3 linked regions of the Oryctolagus cuniculus genome follow. The protein of the gene in region 2 binds, or shares a complex with, the protein of the main gene of each other region. Links are inferred from orthologs where the notes say so. Each region holds a gene or a part of one and is shown on either strand. Other genes may lie near its edges.

Region 1 (4,216 bases), on a different chromosome or scaffold from region 2:
AGCTCTCTGCTGTGGCCCGTGAGGGCAGTGGAGGATGGCCCAAGTGCTTGGGCCCCTGCACCCACATGGGAGACCAGGAGGAAGCACCTGGCTCCTAGCTTCAGATCGGCGTAGCTCCGGCCGTAGCGGCCATTTGGGGGGTGAACCAATAGAAAGAAGACTTTTCTCTCTCTCTCTCTCTCACTGTCTATCTGTCAAATAAATTAAAAAAAAAAAGCGAAGCAGAAGACTTGGAAGGCTGTGGAAGAATGAATGAGGTGTGAGGAAGGAAAAGTTGACTGTAAGGAGGAGAAAGAAAAGTTCAGAGCTCGGGATATTTTGTTTGCTTTTACTGATTGGGCGACCCTGAGTTTGAGGAGTAAAGTAGAGGAGGGGTAGGCTTAGAGAATTAGCAAGACAGTAGGAAGAGTAGTCAGAGAATTCAGAGTAGAGTTAGGGAAAGGTTCCTGTGAGTGAGCCAAGTGAAATGAAATTGAGGATAAAAAAAGATTTCTCATCTGAAGAAACAGTGCATGCAAAGGCTTGAAGAAAAAATAAGTAGACCAGAAAACAGAGGTACATTGTTGGTAGGATGTAGAAATCTGAGCGAGAATAGGGAAAGGAGATAACAAATAGAAAAAGATGCAACGAGGGCAAAATTACCAAGGGTTCCTTTCCCAACTTTTCTTTATTTAACAAGTGATAGATTTGCATGTGTACGAACTGAGTTAGTATGATGAGGTGGTGTCATTGATTGGGTGATGGGGCATTGGTCTGGGTTGAGGCAAGGAGATGGAAGAATCAGGATGATGCAAAAGTAATGCCTGGGTTTCTGATTTGAGTGATGGTGTTAGTGATTGATTCTCTTCACCAAGAAGCCATAGAAGTTTTGGATGGGATGGAAAAGATGGTGGATTTAGTTTTGAATGTGTTAAGCATAATGAAGGATTCTTTTAAGACTGAGCTGCTAAGAGAACAAAGTATCTGAAAAGACAAAGTGAATAGATGCTGTGTTTAGGAGTGAGACTGGAAAACTTGTAGAAGCTACTTTTTCCTTATGTTAATTACTTACCTCTGTTTATTTAGTATTATCTGGCATTTTGGAATCATTAATTTTTTGAAGCATTAAAGTTGAAGTGTGGTTGGTTCAATTTATATGGTTAGCAGCTGATAACAGGCTGAACAAATGTTCTTGGGGAGTTAGTCGATAGCTACCTGAGCACTAACTGAAATGCTGCAGGCGGGGCTGGCGCTGTGGTGTAGCGGGTAAAGCCCCAGCCTGCAGTGCTTACATGCCATATGGGTGCTGGTTTGCATCTGGCGGGTGCTGGTTTGCATCTGGCTGCTCTACTTCTGATCCAGCTCTCTGCTGTGGCCTGGGAAAGCAGTGGAAGATGGCCCAAGTCTTTGGGCCCCTGCACCCGTGTGGGAGACCTGGAAGAAACACCTTGCTCCTGGCTTTGGACCAGCGTAGCTCTGGCCATTGGGGTCATCCGGGGAGTTAACCAGCAGATGGAAGACCTCTCTCTGTCTCTGCCTTTCCTTTTCTCTCTGTAACTCTGACTTTCAAATAAATTAATTAATTAAAAAAAAAAAGAAATGCTGCAGGCACGTTGCGTTATTTTTGGGTTCCGGTTCAGGGTATTCAGCCCCAAGTCAGCTTGCTTCACGTTCTGTCGAACTGTCCTTTGCAGCTAATAAGAATGCAGGTGGAGTGCTAGACAACATCAGCTCGATGTTCTGAGGGAACATTGCAGAACATTTTTAAGCTGGGTGACAATACATCTTTTTCTCTCATAAGAATAAAATTGGTTTCACTGTAAACCAGAGGTAGATTCTTTGGTGACTCTTCTGGCAGCATGAAATCAGTGTTTTTCTTTGTTTTTACTTAATAACAAAATAAAAGCATTCTGTTGATATATACCTTCATTGGAATAAGAGTAATTTGATTGAATTGTTTTACATATTAAAATATGGTAAGTAGCCACTAAGCATTTTAATTCAGGAGAAGTACAAATGAAAAAAATTTACAGATTTAAGATAACATACATAAGATAACATAACATAACTGGTTGTATGAAAATTTGTTTGAAAATTATTTTATTTGTGTAGTGATCACTTTGATATTGTCTCATGAATTGTGATAATAAAAATAAATCACATCAAACTCGCTTTTTTCAACAGACTTGATTTTGAAAAAGGCATCTTATTTTCTCTCTGATGTTTGCATTTTAGATATGCATTATCACTTTCTCATTTCTTCCAGTGACTTTCTAACTATAAGTTGTAAGCAACCTGTAGATAATGTTGAATTTGTAAGGTGAGCTGGATTTTAAAGGAATTTGGGAAACTTGTAGATGATGATGTAAAGTGAGAAAGAGTGCTTTTATAAAGAACATATTCTTATCTCTGCTTAATAATTTCATTTCTTTATAATTCAGAACATATGATGTCTGCGAAGTATCTCCTGGACCCCACTTAAATATGATTATTGGAGCTAATGGAACAGGAAAGTCGAGTATTGTGTGTGCCATTTGCCTTGGATTAGCAGGCAAACCTGCTTTCATGGGACGGGCAGATAAGGTGAGTTAACTGAAGAACTTTTAAAGAAAATCTAAAACTGTTCAGTCCTTTTACTAACAAACAAGTTTATTTTTCTCAGTTTTATGAGTATAGTGAAGTTCTAGTGTTTGAATGTAAGGAATGAATTTAGCAGATAAGAGAAGCTGAAAGGAGAGTCTCATCTCTAGAAATGTTTTGGACTATATCGCTTGAGAACTCTTCATGTATGTAACACCTGAAATGCTAGAAATAATGTCATAAATCTTTTTAAAAAATAATAAGAATCTAAAGACATAGCAGACTTGAGTTGTTTTCTCAGGGACATTTAAAAACCTGCGTTTGAATGGTTTGCAACTCGTAGGGGACCTGAGATGAGATAGGGAAGTACTATAAGATAAAATCTAGAAGGCAGGCGGTATATGCAGCAGAAAAAAACACCAAAGGGGCAGTTGGGTTACTTAATTATCTCATTGGTCATTCTGAATACAGTGGGGAGAAAAGTCTTCCAGAGAATTCTTTTTTTTTTTTTTTTTTTTTTTTTTTTTTAACAGGCAGAGTGGACAGTGAGAGAGAGAGAGAGAGAGAGAGAAAGGTCTTCCTTTGCTGTTGGTTCACCCTCCAATGGCCACCATGGTCGGCACGCTGTGGCCGGTGCACCACGAAGGCAGGAGCCAGGTGCTTTTCCTGGTCTCCCATGGGGTGCAGGGCCCAAGGACTTGGGCCATCCTCCACTGCACTCCTGGGCCACAGCAGAGAGCCGGCCTGGAAGAGGGGCAACCGGGACAGAATCTGGCCCCCCGACCAGAACTAGAACCTGGTGTGCCGGCGCCAGTAGGTGGAGGATTAGCCTATTGAGCCGGGGTGCCGGCCCAGAGAATTCTTAACCACAAGCCTTAACATGCATTGGGGGCCAGAATTCATATTACCTATGTGGCTTAAATATCATAAATCCAAATTTTTAAGTGGTCTCAGTTAGTAATACCTTCAAGGTACCTGGCAGAAGCAAACATAACTATCCCTTCAAGGAAAATACTTTTAACCTAGTCCTCAGATGAATTCTAACATGAAGTTTCAAGAAATTCATGAGTCCATCCTAAGAAGTCATAAAACATGTGAAAAATGAATTACCTAAAATAACATCAAGCAAAAACAGACTGCATGATGAGCTCTGCAAAGCTCGTAGGAACAGATAGTAAACTAAGTATTTGTCATTCGCTTAAGGAAATAAAAGAAGATTGCAAATATAACAGAGGAATACATGACAAAAAGATCAATTTGGAAAAGAATCTAATAGAACATAATGAAATTAAAAATATATTACTTGAAGAAAGTTAATGGACAGGTATAGTATTAGAGCAAACACATGGGGCCAACGTCTGCAGTGCTGGCCTCCTTTTTGGGTGCCGGTTTGAGTCCTGGCTGCTTCACTTGTGATCCAGCTCTCTGCTGTGGCCTGGGAAAGCAGCAGAAGGTGGCCCAAGTGCTTGGGCTCCTGCACCCACGTGGGAGACCCGTGGGAAGCTCCTGGCTCCTGGCTTCGGATCAGCACAGCTCTGGCCATTGCGGCCATTTGGAGAGTGAACCAGTGGATGGAAGGCCTCTCTTTCTCTGCCTCTGCTTCTCTAACACTGCCTTTCAAGTAAATATATAAATCTTTTTTTTTTTTTTAAAGAAA
Region 2 (4,722 bases):
TAGAGCAGACATGATACTTAGAAGATGCAATGGTGAGAGCAATCATGTCAAAGCTCAAGGTGACAAAATCCAATGTGGCTGAATCAATGAAATCCCAATCGAACTCCCAACAGCTTTGTGTACGTTTACATTCTGACAAAATGATTCTAAGATTCCCATAGGAAACCTGAAGGCAGACTGGCAGACATTCTTGGGAAGGTAAAGGTGGGAGGCCTTGCCTTGCCAGAGACCCCTGTGGCAGTGGCACAGGGACGCGTGTGTGAAGAGGGAGGGAACAGACACAAACTCAGAAAGGTGTACATCCATGGACCCTCGACATGCTGGTTAAATAGACTCCGCAGCAAAGCACACTTGTCAGGGAAAGGCACCGCCCCAGACTATCCCCCCATGAAAAAATACACAGCGTGATGCGTACCTCACACTGGATCCACAAGTCTGTTCTAGAGGCCAAGGGCAGGCGGAAGGCAAAGCCCAAGACTTCTCTACGAAAGGACAGGACCATCCCTGTGGCCCAGGAGTGAAAGAGGACTGCTTTGAGAGAGAGAGCGAGCTCCATGAAGACACAGGCTCATCAACTGGATTTTGTGGAAATGAAGGAGCTCTGTGCACCAGAAACACCAGTGAGGGGGCAGAGAGTGAAGGGGGCACACCACCAACTCGAAGGTATTGATGAAACTCCTTAAACTCAGGAAAGGGGAAATGGGCAATAAATTTTGCAAAAGGAGGACGTACACATAGCTAACATATGAAAAAGATACTCTATCTCAATGTTTATCAGGGAAATCAGCACTAAAACCACAGGGAAATAACCAACCACTAGATAGGCAAAACTTGTAAAGAATGGCTGAGCCGAAAACCTTTTTTTTTTTTTTTTTTTTTTTTTAAGATTTATTTATTTACTTGAAAGGCACAGTTACAGAGAGGCAGAGGCAGAGGCAAAGAGAGAGGTCTTCCATCCACTGGCTCACTCTCCAATTGGCCACAACAGCCAGAGCTGTGCAGATCCAAAGCCGGGAGCCAGGAGCTTCTTCTGGGTCTCCCACGTGGGTGCAGGGGCCCAAGCACTTGGGTCATCTTCCACTGCTTTCCCAGGCCATAGCAGAGAGCTGGATGGGAAGTGGAGCAGCCGGGACTCGAACCGGCGCCCACACGGGATGCTGGCACCTCAGGCACCAGCCTAGAATACAAATTCTTACAACTGGAAGTGGATGCCTAGCACTTGGGACACCCTCGTTCCCTATCAGAGTGCCTGGTTCACATCTCAGCTCCTCTGCTTCTGCTATGGCTTCTGCTGGTGCACCCTGGGAGGCGGCAGGTGATGGCTCAAGTGCCTGGATCCCTGCCACCCACAGGGGAGAAGACCTGGCTGAGTTTTGGGTTCCTGGCTTTGGCCTGGCGCAATCCTGGCTGTTGCAAGGTCTGGGGGAATACAAATCTCCCTGTCTGTGCTTTGCAACTAAAATAAATAAAAAAAAATTCTCAAAACCACTAAAGTTAACAATCTGACAGCAAACCTGCATATCCCCCCAAATCCACATCTGCCCTTGGAAACGTTTACAGAAGCACATGAAGAAACAGAATCTGGCAACAGTGGAAGTGCCTGTTTACTGTAGAACTGTCACATACAGCAATTTTACAATCACAGAGTTCAAAACAGCCATGAAGGCCTTGAGGCACAGCCACGCCCATCAGCACAGATGCTTCTCAGAAACACAGCGGGGTGTGCAAACCCAGGTCACACAAAACTACCAGGGTCCGCCTTCCATAAAACCCAAAAGCCAGCAAACCATACATGGGACTGATCAGACATACCTACATGGATCGTGCAAACCACAAAGAAAAACGAGGGAGCCACACAGCACTCGGGGCCCTAGGAATCTGGGGGGGACGGGGCGGAACTGGGGGCTCTGGGGGTTCCAGGATGTTCTGTTTCTTCACTTGGCAGTGGGTGTGTGGGCTCATTTCACTTCGTGCTTCCAAAAAGATATAAGCATATTAAATAAAATCTATAAGAAACGTTAGAAGAATGAGGTCTAGAGTAAATGCTGAACTTTTTGCGAGAGGCGGGACGAATGCAGACACGTCGGTTTGTGCTTGTTATGTCCCTTACGGCTACCAAAAGGGTCTTTAGGGGAGGGTCAGGGACCACCGCCATGCCATCAACTATCTAAATAATCTTTAAACAGAAATGCCGTGGAGAAAGCAGATCTCAATGGAACCACTGTCCGACCGTGTCCCCACAGCCCATTTTACAGATCAGAAAACCGAGGCCAGGCAACCGGCAAAGTTTCCGAGAACACTACGATCCGGGACCCTCAACCGCCGCTTCTCAGTTCCCAAACAGGCTGAAAGCAGAACCTGGTTCTCGAGTGTGGAAACCTGCCCTGACCCGCAGCGAGCCGACCTGCGGTTCGTCTCCGTCCCCCTCGCGTGAAGGCGCAGGCAGGCGCTCGGCCGCAGGACGCCCAAGGGGGGACACACGACGGCGGCCGTGTGCGTCACGCCACCGTCCCCAAACCCCAGGGCAACGCTGGCTTCTGCACCTGTGTGGCCGCGGGGCTCGAGGAGGGGACCGTGGGCTTGGCGCCAAGGTGAGAAGCGCCGTATACAAAACAGGCGAGCTTCTGGCCCCGAAGGGCGAGCCCGGACCCCACCACCTGCCACCACCATTCTAAAATGTCTGCGTGTGTGTGTGCTGGGGGAGCGGACCCCAGCCTCCTAGCCTCGGCTGCCCCTCACGCAGCCCGCTTCCCCGTCAGCCAAGACGCCCAAGCCCCCACCTCCTAGTTCCACACTTCGTCACCGCACAGAAGGTGGGAACCCCACTGCCTGTCGCCCCCAACCCCACCTTCCGTCCACCTCCTCGCCTTTCTGGACGCCCCTTTTTCTTCCCGGAAGGCGTCCGGAACCCCTCGCCCCCGAGCACCCGCCACAGACGGCCGGAAGGCGGGCTCGGACCCGCCCCTTAGGCGGGGTGAAAGCGAATGCGGTGCTCCCATTGGTAGGTTTCGGCGTGCTTCCCCGCCCACAGAGTGACGCACTTCCTGTGTTCCCGCTCGCGCCGCCTCCTTGGTGTTCCGGTATCCGTGCGGTAGGTGTGGAGTTACGGGGTTTCCCGCCGCTTTCAGTATTTACGGGAACAGGCTTCCTCTTGGCTCCCTCCGGCTGCGGCCCTGCGGGGGTGTTCCTGACGGAAGTCCCTGAGGAACAACTGCGTGCGGCCTGGGATATCTCTGTGCCACGGGTCGCACAGCGAGGAGAGAATCCTGACTCCTGCGCTGCTCTGAGCCTCAGTGTGTTTTTCCATTAGATGGGATCTTAGTAGTTCCAGGGAAAAATCAACTGCTCAGCGTCAGGAAAGCGCTGATTAAATGTTAGCCCTCACCGCTTCTTGGCCGGACGGCTGAGATCGAGTGTAAATGTTGGCCATCGACTTAACCCGGGGAGGCGGGTGAGGATTCACGGAGTTCGCAGTGGGAGTGAGCGCACGGCTTTGGGGAACCGGGGCTGCACCCCCGAGGAATGCTCCCAGCTGCTCTCAGCCAGCTCTGAGGCCGCAGCCGCCGCCCGAGTCCCCAGCTGGCAGCTTTGCCTGCTGCCGCGGTGGTCCTGGAGAAGCCCCGCACCTCTGCAGGCCGCATTTCTGGGGAAGGCAGGAGAGGGCATCGTTAGAAGCTGGAACCTGGCAGCAAGGTGGTCAAGCCCGAATCGCCATCCTCACCCTCAGTGTCTCAGATGGACGTCAGAGCACTCACGCTTGCTCTCTCTTTTTTTTTTTTTAAGATTTTTTTTTTTTTTTTGAAAGGCAGAGCTATAGAGAAAGATCTTCCATCCCCTGGTTCACTCCCCACATGGCCACAGCAGCCTGTGCTGGACCCATCGGAAGCCAGGAGCTTCTTCCGGGTCTCCCACATGGGTGCAAGGACCCCAGCACTTGGGCCATCGTCCCCTGCTTTCTCAGGTGCATTAGCAGGGAGCTGGATTGGAAGTGGAGGAGCCGGGACTCCAACAGGACTCCAGCTGGTGCCCATATGGGATGTCAGTGCCACAGGGGGCAGCTTTACCTGCTGCGCCACAGCGCTGGCCCCAAGTTTGCTCATCTTAATGCTGGGGTGATAAAAGCACCTTGTTGAGAGGGCTGTTATATTAAGTGAAGGTTAAAAGCAAACCACTTAGGGGCCGGCACTGTGGCATAGCAGGTAGAACATCCACCTGCAGTGCTGGAATCCCATATGGGCACCTGTTCATGTCCCAGCTGCTCCACTTCTGATCCAGCTCTCTGCTAAAGCAGTAGAAGATGGCCCAGGTCCTTGGGCCTCTGTACCCTCATGGGAGACTGAGAAGAAGCTCCTGGCTCCTGGCTTCAGATCGGCTCAGCTCCAGCCGTTGTGGCCACCTGAGGAATGAACCAACGGAAGGAAGACACCTCTCTCTCTCTCTCTCTCTTTCTCTGCCTCTCTGTAACTCCGCCTTTCAAATAAATAAATAAATCTTTTTTAAAAAAAAAAAAAAAAGCAAAGCACTTAGAAGCATGTTGGCACAGAGTAAGCCCTTGAAAGCATAAGATAGATTACTAATACAAGCTGCCTTGTGGACAAATAAAAGGACAGCCCTAAGGAAGAACTTCATTGTCTGGTTTGCCCTGCACTGTTTGGTTAAATTCCATTCATCAGTATTTAAAGGTGAGGCATTTCACAGAGCAGCCTGGATAGCCGATTGCTC
Region 3 (4,754 bases), on a different chromosome or scaffold from region 2:
CACCATCTACAAACCAGCAAACAGGTCCTCAGATGCCAAATCTACTGCTGCCTTGATCTTGGACTTCTCGGTCCCCAAAATCGTGAGAAATAAATTTGTGTATAAATTACTCAGTTTGGGGGACAGCATTGTGATGCAGTGGGCTAAATCACTGCCTGCAACCCTGACATCCCAAATGAATGCTGGCTCATGTCCCAGGTGCTCCACTTCCAATCCAGATCCCTCCGAATGCGCCTGGGAGAGCAGCAGAAGATAGCCCAGGAGCTTGGGGTCCTGCTACCCATGTGGGAGACTCATGGAGTTCCAGGCTCCTGGCTTCAGCCTGGCCCAGTCCCAGCCTTTGTGGCCATTTAGAGGTGCAGACCCCGACACTGCATTCCACAAGGACCCAGGAGATGCCAGCGGGGCCAGTCCTCATCTCTGGAGCAGAACACGGGAACGGGTCGAAGTACAAAGATGTCCGGCTCAGAGGACTTCCTTCAAGGCAAATATAACAAGACATCACAGAGGAAAAGAACCGTATTCACTGATGAACAGCTTGAAGACTTGAACATCTTGTTCAGTAAGAACCCGTACCCAGACCGTGACCTTCAGGTAGAAGTAGCCTCCAAAATGAACATAGACCCCACGGTGGTGCAGGTCTGGTTCAAGAACCACAGAGCAAAACTCAAGAGAGCAAAATCCACTCAAGTTCCACCCCCGCAGGAAGCTCAGCACCAGACACCCCTGGAGGACCCAGTCACACCCGACTCCTTCCAGGCGCCAGTGGAAGCACCAGCCAGATACCCTGAAGACGCCTACCCCCAGGGCCTCACTTACCCGCACCTCAGCATCTACCCCAGGCTCAAAGTCCCCAGGAACCCCTCTGGAGGACACCAAATCATCCACTTCGGCTGCTGCGAAGACACCACCATATACAACCTCTACCCGCTCTGGGACCCCACGGTGCAGCCAGGACCCGGCTCTGCCGCTGCCTCTTTCTTTGCACAAAGCAGACAGAACCAGAATGATTTCCAGACACAGAAATAACTTCCAGCCATAAAGAACAAACAACGATATGGTGGCTGGGTTTCAAAAACACCCCGGGGCCAGTGCTGGGGCTCAGTGTGTTAAAGCCCTGGCTTGCTCCAGTTCCAGTCCTGGCTGCTCCACTTCCATCCAACTCCCTGAACAAAAAAGAAAAAAAAAAAAAAAAAAAAGAGAGTAAACCAGCAGATGGAAGATCTCTCTCTCCCCTCCCCCTCTGTAACTCTTCCTTTCAAATATTTTAAAATATATATAAATTACCCAATTTATAGAATTTGTTAGAGCAGTCAGAATGGACTAAGATACCCTCCCAGACTTGGTTTAAACCAGACAGTGGCTCTCAATGGGCTGGGGCTGGGGCTGGGTGAGTGCGGGGGGCGGATTTTGTCCCTCTCCAGGCAGAAACTTAGCTACATCTAGGCATTTTAGATTTACTTATTTTATTTGAAAGGCAGAGTTATAGAGAGGCAGAGCTGAGAAAGAGAGAGAGAGAGAAAGAGACAGAGAGAGAGAGAGAATGTCTTCCATCTGCTGGTTCACTCCCCAGATGGTTGCAACAGCCAGAGCTGCACTGATCCGAAGCCAGGAGCCAAGAGCTTCTTCCTAGTCTCCCACGCGGGTGCAGGGGCCCAGATTGGAAGTCGAGCAGCCGGGACTTGAATCAGCGCCTAAATGGGATGCTGGCACTGCAGGCGGCTTTAATCCACTACGCCACAGCGCCGGCCCCTACCTGGGCATTGCTGTTTGTTGGGAGTTGGGAAGGGATGGAAAGTCTACCTACTGGCATCCAGTGGGCACAGTGCACAGGACAGCCCCCACAACAAGGAATTATGTGACCTAAAATAACAACAGTGCATTGGTTGAGAAACAGTGTTTTAAACAATCTCCTTTTAGATCTTTCCCCAGGTGGCTCTCATCTTTTTGCTCTCTACCCATCTTCTCCCAACAGTTTAGAACAACAGTTCTTCCTTACCATGTTATTTTGCCTTCCTCTGACAAGCCTGTAAGAGTCTCTGTAGGCACAATTACTAAGAAACGAAAAAAATTTAAAGATACTTTCCTACTGCTCCCTCTTATCTTTCTGTATACAGCACTGTGCAAACACTTTATAGACAATATGCTGACTCTCTCTAAATCCCATGGCAGCCTTGTTCAAGTTCAGCCAGAGCGGTCACTCCCTTTTCAACCTGCTAGAATGTAACTTTTCTCTCTGTGGCAGTCTCTTACCCATGCAATTGATTGTTCCCTCCCTCACAGCCCGCCCCTCCTTCCCTCCCTCCTTTTCTCTCTCTCTCTCTCTCTCTCTCTCACTCACTCACACACACACACACACACACCCCTAGTATAAAAGTCATCACAGCTGCCACTCCTTAAGCATGGGTGCTCCTTAAACTAGAATCCTAACAACTTACATGGCATACAAAACAGCTCCTAACACATCATAGGCCATCGACAAAGATTCGGTGAGAATTACACAAATACCAATCTCTGAAACCGCCACTCCCAGGACATCTGCTGAGTATCACAGACAGGTGCCACGGAGCTTCCTTCTCGCTGTCGTGAATCGTCACAGCACTCTACAGAAGCAAAGGGAAACCGGGCCCAGAGACTCAACTCCAACGACAGTAAATTTAATTTGAAATGCCTGGAACCAAGTTCAAATCACGTTTATTAGGATCAGAAAGTGGTGGCCTGTTCTCCCACACTCTTAGGGCTTTAGGATGGAGAGACGGCGTCAGAGACCGGGGTAAACTGTCCCAGTCTCAATGCTGTAGCGAGAAAGGGCCAGGACCATCTCCCGGGCGGACAGAACCCAGCACCGGGTCTCCGCCGAGCGCCCCAGCGGGAGGCGACTACTCCCGCTACCCTTCCCCATCGCCACCTCGGCTTCTGCCTTACCTGCTGCCCAATCTATAGCCGCCGGGTGCGCCTGAACTTCCCACACCTGGATCCTCGATCCTTTCCTCAACTCCCTTCGCCCGTCGCTGAAACGGCGAGCGCGGGTTCGCGCGTCATCAGCCGGCGCCGCAAGTGGTCACATGACGCCCCGCCCAGCTCTCCGCCTCCTGGGTCATGTGACGGCCTGGGGAACCAAGGGCGGAAGCCGGGGTTTGGCCGGCTGTAGATCAGGGGCTGGGGACGCACGGGGGTTTCCGCGGAGAGAGACTGTTGGGACGAGGGTGCGGACTCTGCGCGCGACCGGCGGCCCTGCGCGTGCGCCGCTAGCGCGGTCCGGCTAACAGGTGAGCCCCGGCGGGGTGTGCGCCCCTTCCTTGCACATCCCGGGTCCCCTCCCCCGCCCTGGCCAAGGGGCCAGCTGCAGCGTCGCGCGCGGTCTGCATGAGGGGCCTGGGATGGAGGAGACTCAGACGCCTCCTGGGGCGGCGGCTGCAGTCCCCTGATCATCTCCGCTTAGGTGCAATCGTTTCGTACACTCGGGGCGGTGGGAAGCGGTACCCCGCTGTTTGGCCGGCGTCTCATCCTTCCAAGTTTTCCGGGAGCATTGCTGCGTGGTGGTTGTTCATCCATTTACTTTCGAGAAAACTGGTTCCTGCGCGGCTTTGACAGTGCTGAGCTTGAATTATGTCTCTGCTGTGGGCTGCGAGTTTGAGCAAATTGTTGGTCTTTCCTGCGCCTCAGTGCTCTCACTGTGACATGGAGATGTCAAAGTCCTTTGCATGGGGGTGGGGTGGGGGGATAAAGGCCCCGATTCCTCTATGGTCCCTCGGAAAGAAAGGCGCAGACCCAGGAATGGAGCTGGATCTCCAATTCCAATTGCTTGGAGCGCTTTTCGACGTAGGGAAGGGCAGAGAGGAAGAAGTTTCACTGCCTCTGCCCACAGCCAGGAGTCCTGAATCGGACTAGAGGGCTCAGGCTCATTTCAGAACTTTTCTGGAAGAGATCTGCCAGTCACATTTAAATTGATCAACAACCGTTATGCTTTATTAAGGGTAATGGGTTTGGGGCGACCAGCGCTTCCTTCATTATGGAACTGAGGTTTTGTGGGAGGATAAATATAGACCCATCTTCTTTTATGCTCCCAGTAGGGTAAACAGTGTTTCATCCACAGCGATGATGTTTCCGAAGAAATGCTATCCTGCCCTTGCTGCGTACCCGGCGTGACTCTTCCATGCTTCCCTCCTGGAAGCGTGTTGTCTACGATGCCTTTGCAAACTGAAAGTCATGGTTGCATGCCAAATGCTTAAAATTTCCACCACTTTGCACCCTGGAAATGAACAGAAGGGAATTGTGGAGGATCTCTGGCTCCATTGTATACTGATAGTAATGGGCCCACATTGAGAAGACTGGTCCTTAGGCGGCGTCTTCATTGATTGCGCCAAGTGGTGGTTTAATAGTGCGTCTTCTGCGGTGTTCATGAGGACCTCATTCTTGACTAATTGTACGAGACTCAGCTGCAGGTTAACACCCTGTGGAACCACCTGCCTGTCTGAGGTCACTGCAAGGTGGTTAGGCATCTTGAAAGATGATTCTGGAATTCCGTTCTTCAGGACCAGTCTTTCAGCCATCACATTTACCAAATGCTTTAGCCACATCCTAGTTGTGCAGATTGTGGCGATCCCATTTGTCACATGGAAAATAGAACTAGTCCTGGTTAGGAGATGTGATATATAATAATGTAACTAAATATGATGATTTAACCAAGTGATTTCCTTCTTTGTTAATCTTGTTTGAACTTCCCCAGCCTTCAAAAATTTAACAAGAGATGC

The links.
Region 1: NSMCE1 (region 2) and SMC5 share a complex: the UniProt entries of both Homo sapiens proteins name them as parts of the SMC5-SMC6 complex. The link is inferred for Oryctolagus cuniculus from reciprocal best matches to the Homo sapiens genes NSMCE1 and SMC5.
Region 3: NSMCE1 (region 2) and NSMCE2 share a complex: the UniProt entries of both Homo sapiens proteins name them as parts of the SMC5-SMC6 complex. The link is inferred for Oryctolagus cuniculus from reciprocal best matches to the Homo sapiens genes NSMCE1 and NSMCE2.

Annotation. Positions count from the first base shown.
Region 1 is NC_091432.1:160,209,528-160,213,743, reverse strand, and holds part of SMC5 (structural maintenance of chromosomes protein 5), read left to right. Parts: intron 1-2,420; coding exon 2,421-2,562; intron 2,563-4,216. UniProt on the Homo sapiens protein: Core component of the SMC5-SMC6 complex, a complex involved in repair of DNA double-strand breaks by homologous recombination.
Region 2 is NC_091450.1:12,342,420-12,347,141, reverse strand, and holds the start of NSMCE1 (non-structural maintenance of chromosomes element 1 homolog), read right to left. Parts: upstream 2,986-4,722; 5' UTR 2,849-2,985; exon of another isoform or gene 2,781-2,848; intron 1-2,780. UniProt on the Homo sapiens protein: RING-type zinc finger-containing E3 ubiquitin ligase that assembles with melanoma antigen protein (MAGE) to catalyze the direct transfer of ubiquitin from E2 ubiquitin-conjugating enzyme to a specific substrate.
Region 3 is NC_091437.1:150,739,670-150,744,423, reverse strand, and holds the start of NSMCE2 (E3 SUMO-protein ligase NSE2), read right to left. Parts: upstream 3,085-4,754; 5' UTR 2,926-3,084; intron 1,030-2,925; coding exon of another isoform or gene 457-1,029; intron 1-456. Other genes in the region: divergent paired-related homeobox-like, read left to right, coding at 457-1,029. UniProt on the Homo sapiens protein: E3 SUMO-protein ligase component of the SMC5-SMC6 complex, a complex involved in DNA double-strand break repair by homologous recombination. Is not be required for the stability of the complex.